Linked DNA regions of Lytechinus pictus. The protein of the gene in region 1 interacts with the protein of each later gene in a pairwise test. Links are inferred from orthologs where the notes say so. Each region holds a gene or a part of one and is shown in the gene's direction. Other genes may lie near its edges.

The links. The genes of interacting proteins can lie anywhere in the genome.
Region 2: the proteins of prefoldin subunit 3-like (region 1) and prefoldin subunit 2-like interact in binary tests that used the Drosophila melanogaster proteins (3 or more experiments, as listed by UniProt). The link is inferred for Lytechinus pictus from reciprocal best matches to the Drosophila melanogaster genes mgr and Pfdn2.
Region 3: the proteins of prefoldin subunit 3-like (region 1) and prefoldin subunit 5-like interact in binary tests that used the Drosophila melanogaster proteins (3 or more experiments, as listed by UniProt). The link is inferred for Lytechinus pictus from reciprocal best matches to the Drosophila melanogaster genes mgr and Pfdn5.

Annotation. Positions count from the first base shown.
Region 1 is NC_087248.1:15,691,612-15,699,426, forward strand, and holds the start of prefoldin subunit 3-like, read left to right. Parts: upstream 1-4,808; 5' UTR 4,809-5,120; coding exon 5,121-5,227; intron 5,228-5,666; coding exon 5,667-5,733; intron 5,734-6,116; coding exon 6,117-6,215; intron 6,216-7,113; coding exon 7,114-7,252; intron 7,253-7,815. UniProt on the Drosophila melanogaster protein: Binds specifically to cytosolic chaperonin (c-CPN) and transfers target proteins to it. Binds to nascent polypeptide chain and promotes folding in an environment in which there are many competing pathways for nonnative proteins.
Region 2 is NC_087252.1:13,651,363-13,658,992, reverse strand, and holds the start of prefoldin subunit 2-like, read left to right. Parts: upstream 1-4,630; 5' UTR 4,631-4,669; coding exon 4,670-4,812; intron 4,813-7,630. UniProt on the Drosophila melanogaster protein: Binds specifically to cytosolic chaperonin (c-CPN) and transfers target proteins to it. Binds to nascent polypeptide chain and promotes folding in an environment in which there are many competing pathways for nonnative proteins.
Region 3 is NC_087247.1:32,562,505-32,569,580, reverse strand, and holds the start of prefoldin subunit 5-like, read left to right. Parts: upstream 1-4,076; 5' UTR 4,077-4,192; coding exon of another isoform or gene 4,193-4,251; 5' UTR 4,252-4,428; coding exon 4,429-4,509; exon of another isoform or gene 4,510-4,874; intron 4,875-6,426; coding exon 6,427-6,529; intron 6,530-7,076. Other genes in the region: uncharacterized protein LOC129257427, read right to left, coding at 881-1,117, 1,812-1,906, 2,317-2,502, 2,873-2,931, 4,193-4,251. UniProt on the Drosophila melanogaster protein: Binds specifically to cytosolic chaperonin (c-CPN) and transfers target proteins to it. Binds to nascent polypeptide chain and promotes folding in an environment in which there are many competing pathways for nonnative proteins.

The DNA of each region.
Region 1 (7,815 bases):
CACGCTTCGTGCTACCACTTTGTACCTAAAATATTACTTAGGCCCTATTCTGTTCTGTTCATACACAAAGTGCTTGGAATGTCCATTTTTATGGTCAGAATTTCAAACATTTTTAGCTCGCTTTGCGCTCGCATTATTTTGATTGAACTGTAAACCGCCATTATAGCAAGCCCCTCTTCGATCAGACCAGAATGTATATTTCTCTCTTTTCTTTCTTTTTTTGCTCCTCCTTCGCGCTCGCAGAAATTTTATTAAAATACGCATATTGTTCAAGTTCACAAACATTGCCCAGAATGTTCAATTTTGAGGATAAAAAACATGAAATTTCAAAGATATTTTAGCTCGCGCTTCTCACTCGCACTATAGGGGCTATAAGATTATTATATATTGTGTTTTGTGTATGCTGTTTAATGAGAATAAAGAAGTGACTGTTAGGACTACCCCTATTAACTTTGAGCAGAGCAAATATTTTTCGGCCCCTTCCCCGGTTTATTTCTAATTTGTTTAATTGCCAACTCGTCTACTATCGTTTGGTCCATCAGTTCGTCAACTCACCACATAGTCTTTTTTTCATTTAGTATAATGCCATTTCGTCTAATGACCAGTGGACCCAAAAGCCATTTGGTCCATATACCATTTCATCTAATTGGACTATAAATGTTATGAAAATAAAATGGCTATTAGACCAACCGGTTATGTGACTAAATGGTCATAGACGAGATGGTTATTAGAAGAAGTGATGATTGGACCAAATGGTTAATGGACCAATGGCTGTTAGACGAAATGTTGATGGACAGATTGGCATTAGACTTAATGAAAATAGACCATGTAGTGAGTGGACGAGTTTGCCGTAGACGAATTGGCACCCCCCCCCCTATTGGCGATAACGCCCATGCACTACTACTTCTTTCTTATCTCATCCTTTTCATGATATATAAAACATGAATAGAGTGTCCCATTTTTAGGTCTAAATCTCGATTTTTTTTTCCGCTCGCTCTTCGCGCTCGCATTAATTGTTTTATAGCGACGATCCTGTTCATGGTTACAATTGATTTAAATTTTCCATTCTTTATGTAGAAGTGTCCCCCCAAAAAAATCGGCTCGCGCTTGCATGATTTTATTGTTGAAATATGTAACGTCTCCCCATGGCTAAGTGAAATAAGCAGTCCTTAACAGGTACCTTTTTGATCAGTTGAAAACGTAAACAAAAATCTTATGCTCGCGCTTTAACAAAGATCGGAAATTTGATATCCTTTCCATGCATGATTTAAAATACATGAATAGACATGTCTTGTTTTTAGGTCTAAATCTTCCAATTTTGTGCTCGCACTTCGCATCAATTGCTAAGTTATATACCTATCCTGTTTAAGTTACAAAAAGTGCCTATTATTTCAATTCTGCTCGCGCTTCGCGTTCTTAGTAATTATTTAGTTGCATACACATCTTTTTCATGATAAACATTGCCCAGAAATTTCAAACTTTGGGGAAAAAACACATATTTTTTAATGATAAATTAGCTCGCGCTTTGCGCTCGCATTATATAAAAAAGAGTTATGATATTATATATTTATGTTGATTTATAAGACAAAAGCTAAGAAGTGACATTTTATTCAAAGAAACAAACATAAATCATCTTTGCGCGGCCGATTGGGGAAAAATATGGGTGAAAGAAACCCCCCCCCCTTGGCGAAAGCTGGATCCACCCTTCATCCTATTTATTTCTCTCCTTCCATCCATCTCTCCATTCTTCCAGGAACCGAGGAATAGTTTTGAAAGTGGGGTTAAACATGAAAAATTGATTTTTTTTTTTTTTTTTTTTTTTTTTTGTATTTTTACCAATAAAATCATTAATGAAAATAATTCGGTACAAAAATCTATGTAATTCTTCTTCCTGTTTTAAACTACTTGAAAAAAAAAAACTGGGAGGGGGGGGGGGTTGGCCATACCGCCACTGCTAGTAATATGATTATACCATCCGTCACTATAAAGATGCTTTGAAGAAAAAATGTTCAAATTTTTGAGATAATCATGAGGATTGCCCGAAAAGAAATCTTTTAAAGAGGGGTTGCTGGCTTTGAAAAAAAAGCCAAAAGAAAGAGATTATCTCTCTAAAGATAAGTTGATTTTGGTCGAATATCATACTAAACTGATTTCCAGGGGGTGCTGCCTCTGGTGCAGGGGCGGCGATCCAGGGGATAGGCGCGGGCTCAATGCCCCACTTCTAAAAGCACTAAAAAGTGCCCCTTTTCTGTTCCCCCAACTTCGCTCCACTCCCCCTGCCGTACGTGTACAAAAAACGCACCACCAGCCCAAAAAAAATAAATCTTGGGGGTAACAACCCGAGCACCCCACTTCTCAGGGCCATATACAAGGATTCTAATTTATTAATTTTAAAGAAAGCATGAGACATCATATGTTGAAAAAAAATTAAAGAGACCTATTAATGACTGCATGTGGTCCCACCGTTACGCTAGATCTGCGCACAAAATTGCTTTTATATGACACGCAAAAGGGATAGATCTTAGTGGAAAAGTGGGATAAAGCAAACAAGTTTTAGAGACTGCCTTTATTGGCGTTCAATAATATGGGTGATATGATACAAATTCTGCTAGTTTATTCGTACTATTATTTCTGGCCATTGTACTTAGATCTATATTTTATTGTGGAAACATAAAAAAAAAATTATGATACAAATCGAGCGAGGCAAGTACAATGATATGGGGCAGAGTTCCAAGTCTTCATGCCCCAGACTGAATATATTTTGACATCAACTTTCTCTAAAAACAAGTGTTATGTTTTATTTTGTATTATTCATTTTTAAGTATAAGGTTAAATTATAAGTCTCGGAGTGTCAGTTAATGCTGCAAAAGATGTATAAGGCCTACTCTTTTGCAGCACTATCCAGCTACCGCGGCGAGGACGCCCTCCGAGAAGGTAGCCATATCAAAACTAAAAACAAAAAATTCCCCTTAGATTACTGGTGGATCCAAGGGGCATAATTATCGAGAGCCAAAATTGTAATTTGTAACATTAGCATGCCCTTTTTACCCAAGCATGCCCCCTTGAAAGTGAGGATATATATATATATATATATAGGCCCAATTTTTTTGCTTGTAAATTTTTAGGGACGAAATGACTTTGAATTTTTTGTAAAAACATTTTGTAATGCTTATCAAATTTGCATCGGGAAAATATGCCCTCCATAGGCCCCCCACCAAAAAAAAAGTTTATCAACCCAAATTTTAGGGGAGACCACTTGAAATTTTTAGGGGGGGGGGGTCCACTGGAATTTAGGGGGCACGCAGGAAAAAAAATTGTCAAGCAAAAAAAAAGGTTATCAACAAAAAAATTAGGGGGGGGGGCGATTGTCCCCCCACCTCAAATTTAGGGGGGACACGACCCCCCCCCCCCCCCCCCCCGCTGCCTATGGGGGGACGTTGTTACCCTTTTTTTGCTAATTTTTTTTTCGGTCCCCCCCCTTTGATAACCTTTTTTTGTCAAAGATTTTGGTGCCCCCCTAAATTTTTTGACTGCCGCCGCTAATAGTGCCCCCCCCCCTTTGGAAAATCCTGGACCCTCCCTTGCCTAGATATAGATGTTTAAAGAATTAATTATTTTGAAAGTCAGAGTGCCCCCGCCCCCCATGCTTTAGTTATCATGGCATAAAACTTGTCATATCTAATCCTTATATCAGCAAGAGGTCACAGCATACTATCCGTCACCAAACGACTGCATTTGAGCCATTTATTTTCTCTTTTCTCTTCTTTCTATTTTTTGTTGTTATTTAATCATTGTTTATTTGGATAAGCTCGGATCCGAGACTAACTGGGACGGTGAACGCACTTTCGTTCGAGTTGTGTATTTACGTAACAATACGCCGAGGCGAGAAAGGACACGCCCACAATCCCTCGTTCAGTGCCGAGCTCTGTGAATATGTGTCGACGAAATTTCAAAATTAAATTTGTACACAAATCTGTCACAATTCGGACCAACTTTAGCCTCAGATTAACAGATATTTAGATCTCTTTGGAACACTAAAAGTCATTCACTTGGGGTTTTTGAATACATGTATGCTGATTCAGGTGAGGTACTTTTCAATGCTTTTAAACATAGATTAAAAAAAATAGATTTTCGTTTTGGGATCCCTACTGCAGGAGTGCAGGCCTGGAAATTGGAATTGGAAAACTAACTGATAACTCATTTCCTGTGCCGACAGATTTTAATATTTGTCTGAACTTGAAAAAAATATGATAAGATCAGAATCATTCCTCATTTACAACATGTTTTTAAAAATCGGCAAATGTTTTAAAAATCAAACTTTGGGAATTGAAAGAAAGAAGAATGTGCTGATGATGATGGCAGTGACCAGCACAATCTTATTCTTGGGCTTGGCTTTTTTAAAAGTTATATCTTGTGGACATGGAAAGCAGTTGCACAATAGAGTACCGAAGCCATGACATCAGTTGCCATGGTGTCATGGCGGCTTGGTTCTAAACAAATGAACCCGGAATGAAAGCATGTGTTTTTACACAGGAGAAAATGGCTGCTATCAGAATGATCGCTTGCACCCTATTTTTCAGATGAGCCAAGATGTGTACAGACGACCATCTGCTGCGACTCTGTTTAGAACCAGCCCGCCATTGCACCATGGCAAGTGGCAACTGACGTCACACCTTGGTACTCTATGTCAATGGGCTGATAACTTGCTCAGCGAGACAAACAAAACACTTTAGTTTCAGTTGTCTGTCTGGCAATCTGCCCTTGCCACTATTTCACAGCACAATGTTGCTGTGCCCTGATCTTTGGCTCATTACTATTCAAGACAATTAAGCCTGCAAGGTTTTAAAAATGGTCTTAGAAAACTTTGTTCATCCCACATTTTATAGATCTTGAGCTATTGCAGAGGTCTCCGGATTTTAAAATTTAGTAATTTCTTTGCTGCATGCTAATAAAATCTGAAGAAAGATAGAGTTTGAGACTTGAGAAAGTACAAAAAAATGAATAAGACCCTAGAAAACAAATAAAGATAAGATGAAAATAAAAAATTAAGACGTTGAGAAAATACGAATTGTTTTCCTCCATATTTTCAATTTGATTTACAGGAAGATGTAGACAGTTTTATGCAGAAACCCCAGAATGAGTCTGCTGAGATTGTGTTGAAGAGATTAGAAGAACAGCATCAGAAGTATAAATTCATGGAAATGAATTTATTGCAGAAAAAGAGAAGGTGCGTTTGTCTCTTATTTTCTGTACATACAGTGGTATAATTAATAATCCCATATTTTAATTGTTGGCTTGTTGATGAATTTTTCATTACCATAGATTTCAGGAGTCCATTGACCTTTTTTTTTAATGGCTGCATATATGAAATTTATGAATGACAAGTAGATGTATGAAGCCACCTGAAATCACGATAATAATTGAGAAAAAAGAAAGAAACGTATTTATGCAAAAGTATTGACTGATTTCTGACACCCACTTTAAATTTCTTTATTTTCGATTGGTTGCATAAAAGTGATTAAAAGAATAGAACTTCTCTGGTTGCTCAAGAAGCCATCTTGAGTGAATCTATACTTAAATTCCAAGGAATATGGTATTGAATGATTAATTTTTAATTTCTTTTTCTTGAATAAGATATTTTAATCATTTACTATCTCTGATCACAGATTAAAGGGCCAGATTCCTGATATTAGAACAACTTTAGACATTGTCAAACATTTACAAAGTAAACAGGTAAATATAACCTTCATTAATTTCAATTACCATATAAAACAAATTTCTTTTAAACAAAAAAGAAACTCTTGTACATTACATGATGTATACATTATATAGCACTTTTTTTTTACTTTGTATTAAAAGAAATCCTTTTTGAAAGATGAAGAGCATGCATGATCGATGTTATGTATTCAGTGTTTAGCATCAAACTTGTTTTCATTGTTTTTTTTATCTAACTTATTTAAAGAATTTTCATTATTTAATGTTACACGCTCTCTTTAAAATGTTATGTTACTTGTAACAAATTATTCTGTAATAATTCTGCAGTTGATTGATGTAAATATATTTCATATCTCAGTTATGCTGCCACGAAATTGTTCCATTTCATTTTGTCCTCCTAGGGTTCTGAAGATGAGTTAAAGACACAGTTTCTTTTATCAGACCAAGTATATGCCAAGGCTACTATTCTTCCTACCAAGAAAGTTTGTCTGTGGCTAGGGGTAAGTCAGGGTTCACCACCAGTATCAGTTTGTAGTTCAATAGGGTGTTTTTTCAAAGATTTAAGTTTTTACTCAAAAGCAAACTGTATTTCCCACTTGCATGCGGTGTATAACACATGCATCAGTGCATTGGTCATATCATGTTCAGTTGCAGTCACGCAATACCTTGTAGTCATCAATGAGGTTATGTGTTGAATACCGAGTACGCATAGGCATTTAAGCATGATAAAACAGATTTAATTTATATCTAACTCATTGTGAAATACTCTAGGAGGAATATGAATTTATTCATTTAAGAGCTTATGTTATTTTTCAATTTTGATTGCAAACCAACTAGTGAAGCTTTAGGATGAGTGGAGAGGCCTGGTAGAAACGCCTGTAGCAACATCTTGCTGTGCATCACATCAGAGGGAAAGACCCTCGACTCCAAATCTTTGCTTGTTGCTGCAGTGCAAAAAATGTCTCTACTCCATTGGCGAATGCTTCTTGGCAAGCCTTAGAGAGTTTCTGCAATGTGACGGGGAAAAGAAATGAGTGATGTAACATTTTTGCTAAGGGGTTTCCACTCTGATCAAATGTTCTCTGTAATTTTTCCTGTAACCATGAATAGCAAGAATGACCCAAGTTTGACTACACTTGTCTTTGCAAATGTAGTCTCTTGCAATGGGGACAGCACTTAACAGAAGAATAAGTGAACTTTTTACATAACTTAGTCTCCCCAAAAGCAACTTATATGCTGTCCTGGAGAGGATTGTACTGTGTCAGGTGTTGCTGGTGCTCAAGGTAATGTGGTGATCTTGTAGTGATTTTCTTGGGGCGCTCTTAACAGTGCAATGTACTAAAGACCTAAATTGGTATAATCTGCATACGTGTGCATGCCCCTCCTTCTCTCCTTCAGGCTAATGTGATGCTGGAGTACGAACTGTCCGATGCCGAGGCTCTCCTCTCCAAGAACCTGAAAGCAGCAACAGAGAGCCAGACTCAGGTTGACAAGGACCTGGACTTCCTCAGGGACCAGTACACCACCACTGAAGTCAGTATCCTTTACCACAGCAGAGCCTTTTCAAGATTAGCCAACAATTTTTGTCTCACCTGCATAGCAGTGTGAGACTAGGCGCCGCTTTTCCGACGGCGGCGGCGTCAACATCAAATCTTAACCTAAGGTTAAGTTTTTGAAATGACAGCATAACTTAGAAAGTATATGGACCTAGCTCATGAAACTTGGCCATAAGGTTAATCAAGTATTACTGAACATCCTGCCTGAGATTCATGTCACATAACCAAGGTCGAAGGTCATTTAGGATCAATGAACTTAGACCATGTTAGGGGAATCAACATCAAAATCTTAACCTAAGGTTAAGTTTTTGAAATGTCCTCATAACTTAGAAAATGTATGGACCTAGTTCATGAAACTTGGACATAAGGGTAATCAAGTATCACTGAATATCCTGCATGAGTTTCACGTCACATGACCAAGGTCAAAGGTCATTTAGGGTCAATGAACTTTGGCCGAATTGGGGGTATCTGTTGAATTACCATCATAACTTTGAAAGTTTATGGATCTGATTCATGAAACTTGGACATAAGAGTAATCAAGTAT
Region 2 (7,630 bases), on another chromosome or scaffold:
TTCTGTAATTCTTCTCTTGGCATTGGTGAGGTCAGCCTTAGGTCAACATGAGGCAGTCTTAAATTTAGTATCCAAGTCATACATGTATGTTTAGGGGTATGATGTCTATTGCTTGTCAACTTAAGTCTTTTTTTTGTGACATTCTTGATAAGAAAAGAAACTATTCATTTGTTTACTTTCTTAAGAAAAAATGACAGATTCCTTGCTTTCCATGGCCATAGTATCAAGTCATATTTCAATTATTCTTAGACAGATTTCTACTTTACTGCAGAAAACAGTATGACATTGCTCTGCAGTTAAATTTCAGTAAATATTGAATCGAATTGAGGTGAATTAAATTTGTTCTGAAACTGTCAAATATTTATAGTCAATTTGCTCTGTCAAGAAATCAATTTATTATTTTGACATATAACCTCATTTAGGGTACATGAACATTTCTTTATGAATTGATACTTATAATCTCTTGATTATCCATAAACTCTTTTCTTGTATTCTTGGCCATGGCCTGCAAGGCAGTCATAATTCCAGTTTCTATTTGCCATTATGGAGATGCAATATTAAAAGATAGTACAGTGAGTTGATTGTAAGTGTATTGGAGAAGAAGAATATATATATTTTTGATGGAGATATGAGAAAGTTTCTGTAAGAGAGAGAAAAGAAGTAAATCTCTCAAATTATGTGTTAACCCTAAATAGACTGGGCTATTTTGATGCCTAAGAAGACTGGGGGGGGCTGATTCAGCCCCCCCCCCCTATGATCTCGGCCGTCGACCGCGCGATCGGGACGAAAATTGGCACGTGCGTTACCCATGGCATAATCTCCAAGACTGTATGATCAAATTTTCTGAAAAATCTCAATTCATTAATTATGCTAATTTATGCGTAAAATAAAAGATTTGCTCTAATTAATTAAATAAGGCCTCTAATCTGCTAATTTTTTATTCACCGACTCTTTGTAGGATTCTGATCAAGTGTACGCTTAAAAAAATTCAATGTCACAATTCTTTTCTTATGTATTTTATTGTTTTTAAAATTTCTTATGTATTTCATTGTTTTTCCACTTTTTGTTTTTTATTGCTTTTTCAATGGAAATCGTCCGCTACTTTATTCTGACCATAAACAAGATGAAATTAATTGAGTTTGATTAGTAAAATTGAAAATAATGATACATTTATGAATTTTGGCTAAAAACACAATTTGCATTGGATTTGTACACAAATTCACGTTTTTGAGCAATTTCGGATCGACATGCACTTACAAAATGTTGCGTAATTTCGGAACCACGTACCCAGGCGTCGCAAATTTGGTCTCAAAAGTTGCGCAAGACTTGAAAGAAAAAAGTCATGGAATGGCGCGGCGCCAGCTTTTTGCGTTACAGATTTATTGCGAAAAATGTGGAGGGGGGGCTGAATCAGCCCCCCCCCCCCCCAGTCTTTTTAGGGTTAAAGTAGCCTACTGTGCAAACCCTTCACTCAGGTTTAATAAGGGTCTGAATATCGAGCCCACAATGGCTTGTGTACTGAAGGCCCTGAAATTGAAACAGCAAGTTTTATATGTGCTAGTCTTGTGTGAATACCCACTTGTTGACAAAGTTCAATCAGGGTTTGTGTCAAATTAGTATTACAGAGATTATTACCGAAGTAAGAGTGTATTACTAAAGTCTGAGAGTGTATTACTAAAGACTTATTTCAACACATTTTTCGGCCATAGAAAAAACCTTTTCCATGTAGGAATGGGTTATTTTAGTTGATTTTCAGACTATATATCAATTCTCATATGGCACCATAGGTTGCAACAATGTGTGTTAATGCTTATAGCTGCTTGGGCAACAAATCATTGTGGGGTTTTTAGGAAGGTTTGTTTTGCAAGAGATGTGTTTGGAATTGGATTCAAGATACATGGATACCATAGCACTGTGTCTGAAGGGATAGACTAGTCTTCCTGTCTTCACTAACCAATCCTTTTAAAAGATTTAGGGAAATCTATTGGCCTTTTAAATCATTTAATCTCCATTTCTTTACAGGATATATTATATTGCCATTATTTCTCTGTAAATCCGTCAATAAGGTGGAAAGGTATTACGATGCCTTCAGATTCTTCTTTGAAAATGAGGACCAAATTCTGAATTATCATTGGGAGTTGCATAAATCAAGAAGCTAGAATTTTATGAATTAAATGATTCAATTGTTTATTGTTCAATTTATTATTTTATTGTTCAATTATTTGATTATTTTTTTATCATTATCATGATCATTTGTATATTTGATTATTACTTTATTATTCAAATTTATTATTTTTTATTTTTTTGTTAATATCATTATTATTCTTATTGTTTTATTATTATCATTGTTATTGCCATTGTTAATAAATGTAATTTTCTCGTTATTGATTTATGTATTCTTCATTGATTGATTGATTTAAATATTTTTTTTGGGGGGGATCTTAGTTGCTATCTTTCAAATGGACAATCACTTATTACCACTTGAATTTTTGTTTTACATTTCCTTTAATATCGACCCGTTACTTCAGCAATTGAGTTGGATGTCATGTTCACCTGCTTAATGATATGGCTTTATTATCTGTGTTCTGATTTTTTTTCTCATGATTTATTTTTTTGTATATTTTTTTTTGTTCAGGAGAAAAATGCAATTTACAAACAGGCAGTTGCCAGGTATTTAGAAATCATACCTGATGAATAACGCACCTTCACCTGTGATATTTTCTTATTGTTATTGTTACTTTTATTTCCAATTGTTTGGAAATATATATTACAGTGTATGCTGGAGATTATAAACAGAAAAATAAAAACAATTTTAAAACATGTAAATGTATATGTTTGAGGAAAGCTTCCTTATTTCATGTTTTGTTTTGATTTTACCTTTTTAATTGAAAAATTGTTCCATGACATCTGCTTCAGCGACAATTACTCTGCTCTAAATTCCACACTTCAACCCTGGGTTCAAAACTATACCTACCCTACCCTAAATCTAACATCAATCCTATAGATTGATAATAATATAGGGTATTTATATTGCGCACATATCCACCTTGTTAGGTGCTCAAGGCGCTCCTATATTACCCGGCTAAGCTAGGCGTTCATAGCGCACACAGCTTTTTAAGGAATTACTTCCTACCGGTACCCATTTACCTCACCTGGGTTGAGTGCAGCACATTGTGGATTACTGACAGCACAAATGCATTGTGGATTACTGACGTGATGACGTCACAAAAACTTCTTTTTTGCATTTCAGCCTTTAGATACCATATTCTGGTATAGCATGATGAAAAACCCCCACTTCCAAAATTTGGTGGAAATTGGTCCATAGGGTCCCAAGATATGACTTCATGAATACAAATAATTAGCCCCATTGAAGTCAATGTATTATTGGCCTGGGCTGGTTCCTAACATTTAGAACAGGCCAATTAACATTGACTTCAATGGGGCTAATTATGTATTCATTAGGTCATCCTGGGGCTCCATAGACCGATTCTCACCTAATTTTGGTTGGGTTTCTCATCATGCTCTACCAAAATATGGTATCAAAAACGCTGAAATGCAAAAAAAGTGAAAACTGATGACGACACACTTTGATACTTTATTGGAACCCGAACCGTACGCCTATTGTATTGAACAAAATTAAGCCCGGAGCAATTGTCGCAGGAGCAAATGTCGTGTCACCGAAAAATGAGCAGGTGATATGTCTGATTGTAAGGTCTCAGTCTACATCCCAGGAAACAATTACACAGTGCATGGCTCAGGCAAATTTACCCCTGAAACGCCCCTAAGAGCCCTGCTCAATGTGTCATACTCCTCTCCCTCTCAGAACACTAATTATTGCAAATATATAACTGAATAATGAAAGTCGATGCATTTTCACCAATGATAATTTATTCACAAAATTTTCAATGGCCATCCCCCATCCTTCCTCAGTGTTTGAACGATAACTAAATCACATTTTTTGTTATTAAGACCATTAACTATCCTGTTTGATAATTAAGTTTTAAAGAAGTAATGTTAAAGAATTTTGTTTAAACTTGTAACATTGATTCAATTATTGCAAAAAATGTGAATGAAGATGAAAAATATATGATCTCTATTAGTATTCCCTCTGATGTGATGGATAAGCCCCTTTGCAGTTGTAGTTGAGATAAAATGTTTTTAATCACTCTCAGGGGCAGTGGAACAGGGTTTTTTTTTTTGGGGGGGGGGGGGCTAGCTGACAAAAAAAAACTAACACAGCCCCCTTCCCTGATTCCATGGCCCCTTTCACTGACATACACATTTGTGATTTTGATGATTTTTCATTATTCCTTTTTTTAATATTCTTTTCATCACATCCACTGAACAGTAACAGAGGGTTCAAATCATTAATCATCCCTGGATAATAATTTGGTATTTGGCAGTAGCCCAAATAATCATGAGCCAAAATAAAAGTGCACAATATACGACAAACGGTTTCCAAAGCAAGTTGATCACTGATGTACTATTCTAGACGCCTGGCCGACGACACGTCTTTCTTTATTAGGATTTCGGGACGGGAAAGCTGGTTAAAAATAGTGTTCATCCAGAAAAAAGGGGAAATGTCATTTGAGAAAAGTTGGTCATGAGTATATTCGGAGAGCCGGCCCTCTACGCTGATTAAACTACATGTCATGTCATCTCGGTAAAAATGGCAGATAAGAAAGGAAAAACGGGCAATGCCAAGAAAATGTCACATGAACAAATTGTGTCAGGCTTCAACCAGTTACGGCAGGAACAGAGAGCACTCGTTACCAAGATTGCAGAACTAGAGTCAGATCAAAATGAACACAGGTAATTCTACACATGTCCGAGGGATATTATTTGTGAAAGTGCCATGACGGGGATTGGGAATCGAACGACCGCGACCGTGCCCCCGAACATGCCGAAGCAGCCGGGGTGACAGGCAGCTTATCCCCGCTTCGCGGTTAGCATGTCCATGCCAGCCATGGCCATGCCAATGTCAATGGCAATGCCATGCCCATGGGCATGGGGTGGCTATATGCCTATGGCATTCAGACATTGGTATGGTGCACGGACACGGTGGGGAAAGAGTTCCATTAGAGTTCGGTATATGCACCCCACTATTTTTATTTTTTGATAATCTCCTGTAGGTAGGGACAACGGTACATTCGGTATTTGCTCTATCAAAATCCCTACATACCATTGCGAGTGCGTCGAGCGCGTCCGTTGATCCTACGAAGCCCCAATAATGCATCCCTCTTGACTGATAATTTCACCCTAAATTGAGTTATTTCAGGTAGCTATGATATATTTGGCATTAAAAGGATCGGTAATTATTTGTCAGTAATTATTTAGTATTCTATATTTTCGAATGGCTTACCTCTACTTGTTCTTTGAATGGGAAAATATCGTACTTTGTCCTTGTATTCCCCATGAACTGCAGAGTTTGTGTGTGTATAAAGTCAATGGGGAAATTAAAAGTTTTGCACACGCGACCCGTCACCATGACGTCACTAGCATTGCGTGTGAGCGAGCTAAGTTTGATTTGGGGGCGGCGCCCTCCAAAATTTGACCAATAAAAATTCTGCATTTGCTGCATCTTTTGGGATTTTCCCTAAATTTATGTCTCAGGGACCGTCTTGGAAGTGCGTGCTGAGCTGTATAATCTTTTTGAAGGACCCACCCTATTCTACTTAAAGATATTCAATTAAAACATCTTGGGGCCCGTTTTGGGACTTTTCATTCTTAAAAAAGATGGTTTTGAGACGAAGTCTTATATCTAGATTAATTTAAGAAAAAAAAATTGTGAATTTATTGTTAAATTTTAAAATGCAAAGCAAAAACCTCCATATGACGTGTACGTGACGTAATTATCGTCATGAAGTTGAAGATCGCGCGAAGTGGTGGGAGGGGCCTATCGCGAACGTAGACCATGTATTAGTCTTGATTCAGGCAATTTTTATGATTTGTAAAGTTCGTTGAAACTCTGTAACGTTGTGAACGGATATCATCCAAATAAAATAAATGAAAATAATTTTAAAATGTGAAAGGATGAAGGCTAGCACAATCTTTCTCTTAGGAACATTCAGCCCCCCCCCCCTCCTCAGTTACAAATGTTAATCACGTGTAATCGCCGTGATACAAGGAGAGATGTTTTGGAAGGTCATGTGTGTGTGAGATATTGCACATGGCATAATGGCGGCATATACGTGTGATACAGGGAATTCTGTACAAGGATGTTTACACTTGTGTGTGAGAAGGTCTGTGACCGAGATGGTGGCATGGGAATAATGGAGTTAGAGTGGATTAAAAAACTACGTGTGTAAAGCATGGACCTGCACGTTGCAACTGTACATTCGCTCTGGGGGCTAAATGCCGGGGCTAAATTAAAATAGGGGAATCCCCGGTGTGTATAGCTTGATTAGTAATCAATTGTTAAGGCCTACTAAAGTATATTTTGTTTATTAAAAAATCTAAGAAATCAATGTTTTAATTTGCAATGTTTACGCACAATATATGTATATATGCCCTCTCACAATCACACACATTTAAGATTTTATTTTTAACAGTAACATACTGATTGTTGTAAAATTAGGATACAAAAATTACTCAACGAGATGTCAGTTATTTTTTTATTTTCTAATGTATAGGCGGAGGGGGGGGGGTGGGTTCCCTCGGTCCTGCGCCCTCGCTCTTAGCAAAAATAAATAAATGGATATTAAAAAAAAAAATCCTAATTGGAGAAAATTTTCCCCAAAACGTACGTATCTCCTATCTCCTGAATTACAATAATAATTTCTGCCAATACCTGCAAAGAATCCGTTTACACCCCCCCCCAAAAAAAAAACCCTGAAAATTGGAGGCCATTTATATGATTGAGCGGAGAGTTGGAAAAAAATGTTTTCGGTGAGAGACCCCCCCCCCCCCCCCCCCCGCTGACTTTTACATCCGTAATCTGCTTTTTTATGGGAACATTTTTCTAACACTTCGTCTATCATGCCCTGTCATGAGTGAAAATATAGTTCAAACAGGGATATACAATATCCCTGGTTCAAACATGGACCTTTTAAAGCGTTGACAAAAAGTGACAAAAAAGTCACGCTATTATGGGGCTTTTATACCAATGTAACCCGATATACATGTAAATAAATTAGGTATCCAATGCGACTGTCAAATTGAATTTACATCTGATTTCAAGGGATCGATGTGCCATAGGCCTATATTGATTTTTTTTTCACGGGGAGGGGGCCTACATAGCTCGTTTACATTTCTCGATTTGACTCCTTTTTCCGCCATGAGTCTCAACTTCCTACATGGGATATTCAGGGAGGATCGATGGGGTGGCCCTTAATTACCCCTTCTATATAGCTATCCCAGTAGGGGTCAGGGGTTGGATTCTGAATTAGGGTGGGGGTAAGGGTATCATCATGTAACAACGATCAGACGAGAATACTCACTTGTTAATTATTATATGAAAAGAGTTGCCCCCTCCTTCGGTGTCCCTGGTCGGTGCCGGTGAGTTTTCCAAAAGAAAAATATTCTGAAGTTTGCTATGGGGAACTCTTCGTCAATTTTGAGATATGACATTATTTCACTTATTTCACAAGTCATAATCATGAACATAATACAAACAAATATTACATCAGAA
Region 3 (7,076 bases), on another chromosome or scaffold:
CACCCCTTATGATTGGTCAACAATCCAAATTTGGAATTAAACATATCAATTGATGAGAAGATAAAAATACGGAGCAAACTCCTGTCCAAAGTTCTGAATGGTCGTATTAAAACTTAATTGATGATTTTTAATATTTTATTCCTCTTCACATGTATTAAAGCAAATTCATTTTAGAACATAAAAATAATTGAACCATTCACTACGCTTAAAAAAAAAATCCATCCCAATTTTTATTTTTTTAAATAGACATGAAATGAAATACTCTGAAAATTTGCTTTGCCCAATTAATCATGAGCCCGGCAGCTGCTGTGCAGCCATATCGATGAGGCTCTATCCCTTTAATCATTAAACGGCAAACAGGGTAGCAGCACATACTTAAACATCTTTTGGTCTGACGCGACCGGGATTTAAATTCCCGACCTCCTGGTTGTGAGACAGACGCTCTACCAACTGAGCCAACACACTGGTTTCCCGCATATTCGGCCATCACTGTATATTAACTGCTTGCCATTAATTCTGATGTTGACATTAGTATTCTAATAGTTATTTTCCTGAAAGAATCATTTGATTTTTAAATCTCTAAAAAATTTGCACAATATGGTTTCATCTAGAAATGGGTCAGAGCCTTTTTTTATAATGTCTTTGTTCTACGCCATGTTGCTTTACTTCAATTTTATGTCTGAAACATTAATATTCCCCATTCTTTAAAATATTTCCTGAAGCAATAGCCAATATTGGCTATTCATTGAAGTTTCAATGTGCAGATAATTCCAATATCATTTTCATGACCATGCAGCTTAAGCCATGACAGCTCAGGTCGTAACTCCACAATGATTCTTCCAAATAGAGTCTATTGTCCATGACGACACCGTTTCAAAGGTCACCTCTTGCCTTTATTGAACTTCTGTTTCTTGTTACCAGGGTGTGGTTTGGACGATGGTATGCACATAGCGCCACCTGCAGCGTCTCCTTCCTTGAGTCCACGAAAACGAGCCATCTCCTCGTTCTTACGCTTCAGGTTTTCCTTCCTGAAGAGACTGGTACCACGTCCTGGAGAGGTGATCTCAACGTTGATGGGTCTCCCGTGAAGTTTACTCAAATGCATTGCTAACGCACTCTGAAAAGCAGACAAAAAAATTTATGTAGCATACCAATGTGACAATATTTTTTTCAGATCATATCAAGGTTAATTCATCTTTGGATAGTTTTGTATCTCCCAGAATAAACAACCTGAAACCAATGAAAATTGGGAAATGCAAACAGAGATTTAACGTAATATATTCTCGCCAGACCACTTCAAAAGAATAAATGGAATATTAAAAGAACGTTGATACTGTGTTTCATAAACTCTGATACTGGTAACAACAGAAAATAAAGTGTTCACAGAATTTGAACAAAACTTAAACAGAATTATACAAAAATAAACAAATGATATCTGCCGAACATTTTTTCAGGAAAACATATAATTACAGAGTAATGAGCAAAGGAAGATCACAAAAATATTGAAAAATGCTGTTTATATACAGTGTGGTCTCAAATGTTGTTTCCTGTGTTAGCTACACCATGAAACGCATGTGGTAATGAATTCATTTCAAGCAAGCTAGAATTGTTAAAAATGTTGTTGTAAATAAGCATTCTGGCATACGATAAACACTTAAGGATTGTTTCCAACCATTTTCCATCAATAATTCTAAACCAGAACTCGAACTGAGCTTTAAATGAATTGAATGACATAAAACATGTCGTGAAATAATGTACCCCACAGTAGAACTGATATTCATTGTTATCAAGGGAATAGATATTCAACTCACCATGTATGATTTGTTGTTTTTAAATTCAATGTAGCCAAATCCTCTAGATTTACCAGTGTCTTTGTGTGTTGCTAACCTCACAGACTTCAATTCACCTGCCGTGTGAAAATGACAAATATGAAACATTATTTAAGCCAGCCATGTAATCCAAATTCTATATTGCTATGATTTTGAATATCCTCCTTTACTAAAAATTCAATTATTACATCATTCAGACATTACTTCAATGGGACACACTACAAGAACTCAAAAAAATATCTAACTAACTACCCCCCCCCCCCCCTCCAAACCCTTCAATTGAGCTTTTCAGGCAATGTCCAATCTTTTTCCTTTTAAGTGCACATGCTGGTATTACTAACACATTGCATTATCATTTATTTGATGCAAGATAAAACAGCATTAGAGATAACATGTCTTTTTTGCGGCCGTGCCGGGAATCATACTCCGGACTGCAATGGTGTAGTCAGGCACCTTAGACGACTCCGCTACAACGATGCTTTCTTACCAGCTTTAGAGAAGTGTTTGGTTATATCCTCTGTTGTAGCACTGTATGGAATCTGACCAACAAAGAGCACATAAAACTTCTTGGTTGAGGTTTTTCCTGAGGTCTTTCCTGACTTCTTCCCCTGGGTTTCCAGGGCATCCACACTCTCTGTTTTTACTGGAGGCTTCACAGCTGCTGAACTTGATCCTAAGGGTGAAATACATTATTTCAAATTAATTAATTACACTATAAACTGACAAATATTGGATAAAATGTTATAAAAACCTGATGGCATGGTAAAATCATAATTCGGTATTTCCTATTAATGCAAACAAAACATTAAGCAGACAAATCATATAAAATTTTCATAAGTTCACCAGTTTTAGGGCTCAAAATACTGGTACCTGCCAAAAGAAAAATATAACTGGCTTCACTTTCAAATTTTTTTAAAGACCAGTCTCTGCTCAAGTTTCCATTTTACTTACGTATACATTTCTTCATCAGTATGGGAAGGGGTGGGGGGGGGGTATTAAAATAAGGGTATTGAATTAATATGAATCATCAAATTATGACTTGCCTGTGGAATCACCTTGTTTATCTTGTTCATTCTGCTGTGGCTGATGCTCACTCCACCATCTTCAATTTAAAAAAAGTATTTTTATTTAGGAAACTTTACAAAATCAATTCAGTTAAATCACACAATGAACTGTAATCTGTATAGATGTATTAAAAAAGGGTAGGCCTAATAGTTAACTGACTTGAATTTTACAAAAAATATCTACCAAAACAAAAGTGTTGACTAGCTTCAGGAGTCGGAATGGCCAATGCTAATGCAGTTTCGCACCGGCTGACTTCACAAGGATTTCCCAATCAGATTGTTCGCACATGTCATAGCAAGTCTCTCAATCACATTTCAAGGTCAATAAACCCACCACTTTTCTGATTATCGTGATCGGGAACAGCTGTATTTCGGCTTCGATCTCGACGTCAAATTCTCAGTCAAGACATCGCTTCGCTTGGAGTGGGATTCCCCTATTATATTTATATGGTCTGAAGTTAGTGACCAAAATTATGCCATTATGCTGTGAACAAACAGGTGAGCGGCCGCAGGCTGATCTTCTGGACGCTAATTTCATTCCATAAAAAAACTACCGTGAAACCAATTCAAGCAAAGTGATGTCTGAATGAGAATTTGACAATGACCTCGTCGAGATCTAACCGAAATACAGACGTTCCCGATCGCGATATTCTTAAAAGCGCTAGGTACATTAGGTGTGATTGAGAGACTTGCTAATTTGCAAATTATTAGATCTGACTTTTAATGTTAACTTAATATGGTGGGGAAATTCTCTCAAAGTCGGCTGGTGCAAAACTGTCTACGACTACGGCCAGGATTATTACCTTTATTACTGGATCTACTGGAAAAATGCAATTACTTATGCAGTCGTGTTTCCAGGTCTTGATACAACCTGTAATACCATATGACTCAAGTTTATTCATGAGCCGCTGGTGAGGCACGGAGTCAAAAGCTTATATAGTGCGACATGACATTTCATTATTTCTTGAAGTTGAAAACTTGAGGAAGAATGGAAAAACGTTACACTAACATTACAACAACTAAAATATTCCCATTTTTAAACATATTAATAATGCTTTTTGAATATACGTAAACTATGCAATGCAGGAAACACCATCAACATTGCCATTGCATTGGCATTGCTTGCATTATGTTAAATTAAATTACAATTTTTACATGTCCTTACTTACACAAAATTCAATATGTGGTGCCTGGATTATTTTTTGGAAAAATCATGATCGGTGATGATGCTGTGTCAAAATGCCTTGACTTGATGATGACTGAGGCTTGGAAAAATACTTAAAATATGTTGTTACTTACTGCATTCTACGCTCCTTTCTGGACTTCACAGTTTCGGATTTAGCACTGTTTTCTGCCATATTTGTGCGTTTAGTTTGTCCGGCTTTCGTAGTTAGACATCTCTCACGACTCGTGCGCGGATTGCAACTTTGAAGTTGAGTTGGGAGTGTAGTCACAGTTTCACTTTCAGTTTCAGTCACTTTGGTACTGACTTAGTGTTACAGTTTTTTTTACGAGTTGCGATCAAAGAAGTAACCATGTCTGAAGGAGGACAGCAAGTGGACCTAATGCAGCTTCCGATTCCACAGCTAAATGGTCTTAAAGAACAGTTAGATCAGGTAAACTTTCAATTTTTTTTTACTGACTTGAACAAGCACTTACTCGCAAAAAGGCCAATGCGATAACTGACGCATGCAATTCTAATACACACATATTCAATAGGGATATTCACAATTTTGTGATAGATTAATTGGAATTATACAGGAGTTAAATCACCGTTGATGACACATTGATTGTGCGTGGTTTGCTATGAATATGACTGAGTGGTGAAAGCATTTGTTGGGGGGGGGGAGAATATTTGAACAGCTTAAAACTAAATGAACTAATGTCTGATAAACATGAATTTATTGGTCAAATCATGCTTTCGGTAACTATTCATAGCTCGCCGGGGCCCTGTGTCCTGTGGCTGTGACACTGTGTGTGTGCTGGGCTCTTCCCGGTGGCGGTGCCTCAATGCCCTTGATCCTATTAATTTACGCATTGCTATTGTGAAATCCTTTCCTTATTTGTGCTTACCATACATACCCTTTGACCAAAACTTGTGGGCATATTTATTTTGCCACCACAATGGAATTGGGTGCCCTCATCGCAGAGATTAAAGTCTAATTGACTGTCTTAAAGATCATCGTCGAAAAGGGGGGATCCACACTGAATTAAATCATTTGATTTTACCAGTTTGAAGTAATCTTGTAACAGGTATATACAGTGCGTCTGAAATTTTTGAAATGGCTGCCACATAAAAATATATCACTTTGGGGGAAAAGTTTTATAGAGCTCTAGATGGAAAGCAAATAATGTCAACTTTCAAATGACACCAAAAAGTAGCAAATCTATTCATGCTTGAGTGACCAATGCCCACTTAAATAAAGGGCAAGAAAATTAGGCTTGGCTGGAATTAGCCTTCCAATTTCTTCTTCTTCCGTTTATTACAGTCCTCTTTACAGAGTATAGTCGTACTTGACTGAGGCCAGTTATTGGTCACCCAAGGGTTCATTACATGTCACCGCGCACAGAAAAATCAAGCCATAGAAGTCGTGTGTTGTGGACCCAAGAAGTGAGATCCCAGCACGCGCGACCCACTAGTTAGAAATCCACTGCCAAACGCGGTTCGTGGTGCGAGGTTAGTATACTAATACTAACCTCGCAATACGTGTGAGTGGTTATTGGTAGGCGATTCCTTTGGAACTCGCAAAGTTGAGGGTGTTGTGGTAAATTAATGATCAATCATGATCAGTTTTGGTTGTTTGAGTAAATTTCATGAATTATTAAATTGAAATTAATGCATGAGTGAACATGAATTGCATTTTTAGTGCTCCATTTTAACCGTCATGTTGACATCAGCAGTGTGTAATTTTTTGAGATGCTCTGTAGAGCAAGGCCACATTTTATAGAAGATGTTTCAGAGGAGAAAGGGCCAATGAGAGGGTCATCATAGCCAGTCAACAGGGTATCAACGTGATCCCTGACCATGACAGTTGATGGCCCTGGATTGGTTTTTAAAAGCACTGTTGTCATTCCAGGGGGGGAAAGGTGTCTTACAAGACTTAAGCTTGACTTGCTTAGTGTCGAGGAACAATTGATATTTTACACTCAATCTCCTTGATTAATGTGCAGTAGTGCAATTCCTCTGAGCAGATTTGTCTAACAATGTGTTTTATACAGCATTCAACTATGAATTTGAGTGTGACTTCTAGTCACACTCAAATATTTGTGAAACACCCACTGGGCCTCATTTCATAAAAAAGTGGCTTATGATAGCAACTCGTGCTGGAATATCACCTTTCATTGGAAGAGTCAATCAAAAAGCAAAACTTTCAATGTTGTCATGGTAGTTGACATTCCAGCAAGACTTTTTATCATAGCAACTTTTATGAAATGGTGCACTCACTGCACTGCAATTGGTAAGATTCAATTCATGACTTGGCACCCTTAAAGAGAAAAAGAGAAATTTATATTTGTCTCTCTTTCTATTGCAGGAGGTGGAGATGATGCAGGGTTCCTTGCAGCAGCTCAAGATGGCCCAGTCTCGGTTTATGGAATCATCAGAAAGCATAGGCAAATTAAATTCTGATAATGAAGGTGAGCTGAAAATAGAAATAATAATAATAATAGTACAGTTCTTAATAGACGCATAACACCTACAGTTCTCTGCGTGTGAGGAAAGCAGGAAATATGGTTAGAATTGTAGATTTAAAATCAAATATCAAATAATAATAATTAATAATAATAATAATCCGCTTTTATATGGCGCTTAATCGGAACGACGTGTCTACCCCGGTCATCGGATTCAATCAGTCATTCCTGCACACAATGTGTGCACATCCTCCACTTTCTATATTATAAACATCAAAGAATATTAAAACATAGATTGAACCTAACTTAGTTAAACATTCTGAAAGAGTTGGGTCTTTAATTGTACTTTGAATTGCTCAAGCTGGGTAATATTTTGTAAAGCCATCGGTAGAGAATTCCATTGTGCTGAAATCTGTCAAAGATCATGTGGGGTTATTTATTTATGCCTCCGCCCATTTTGGGCTGTGCTGGAGGTGTTTTGTTTTCGGGTTGTCCGTCTATCCAAATTTTACTTTCGCGATAACCAAAAGAAAACCATTGGATGGATCAACCT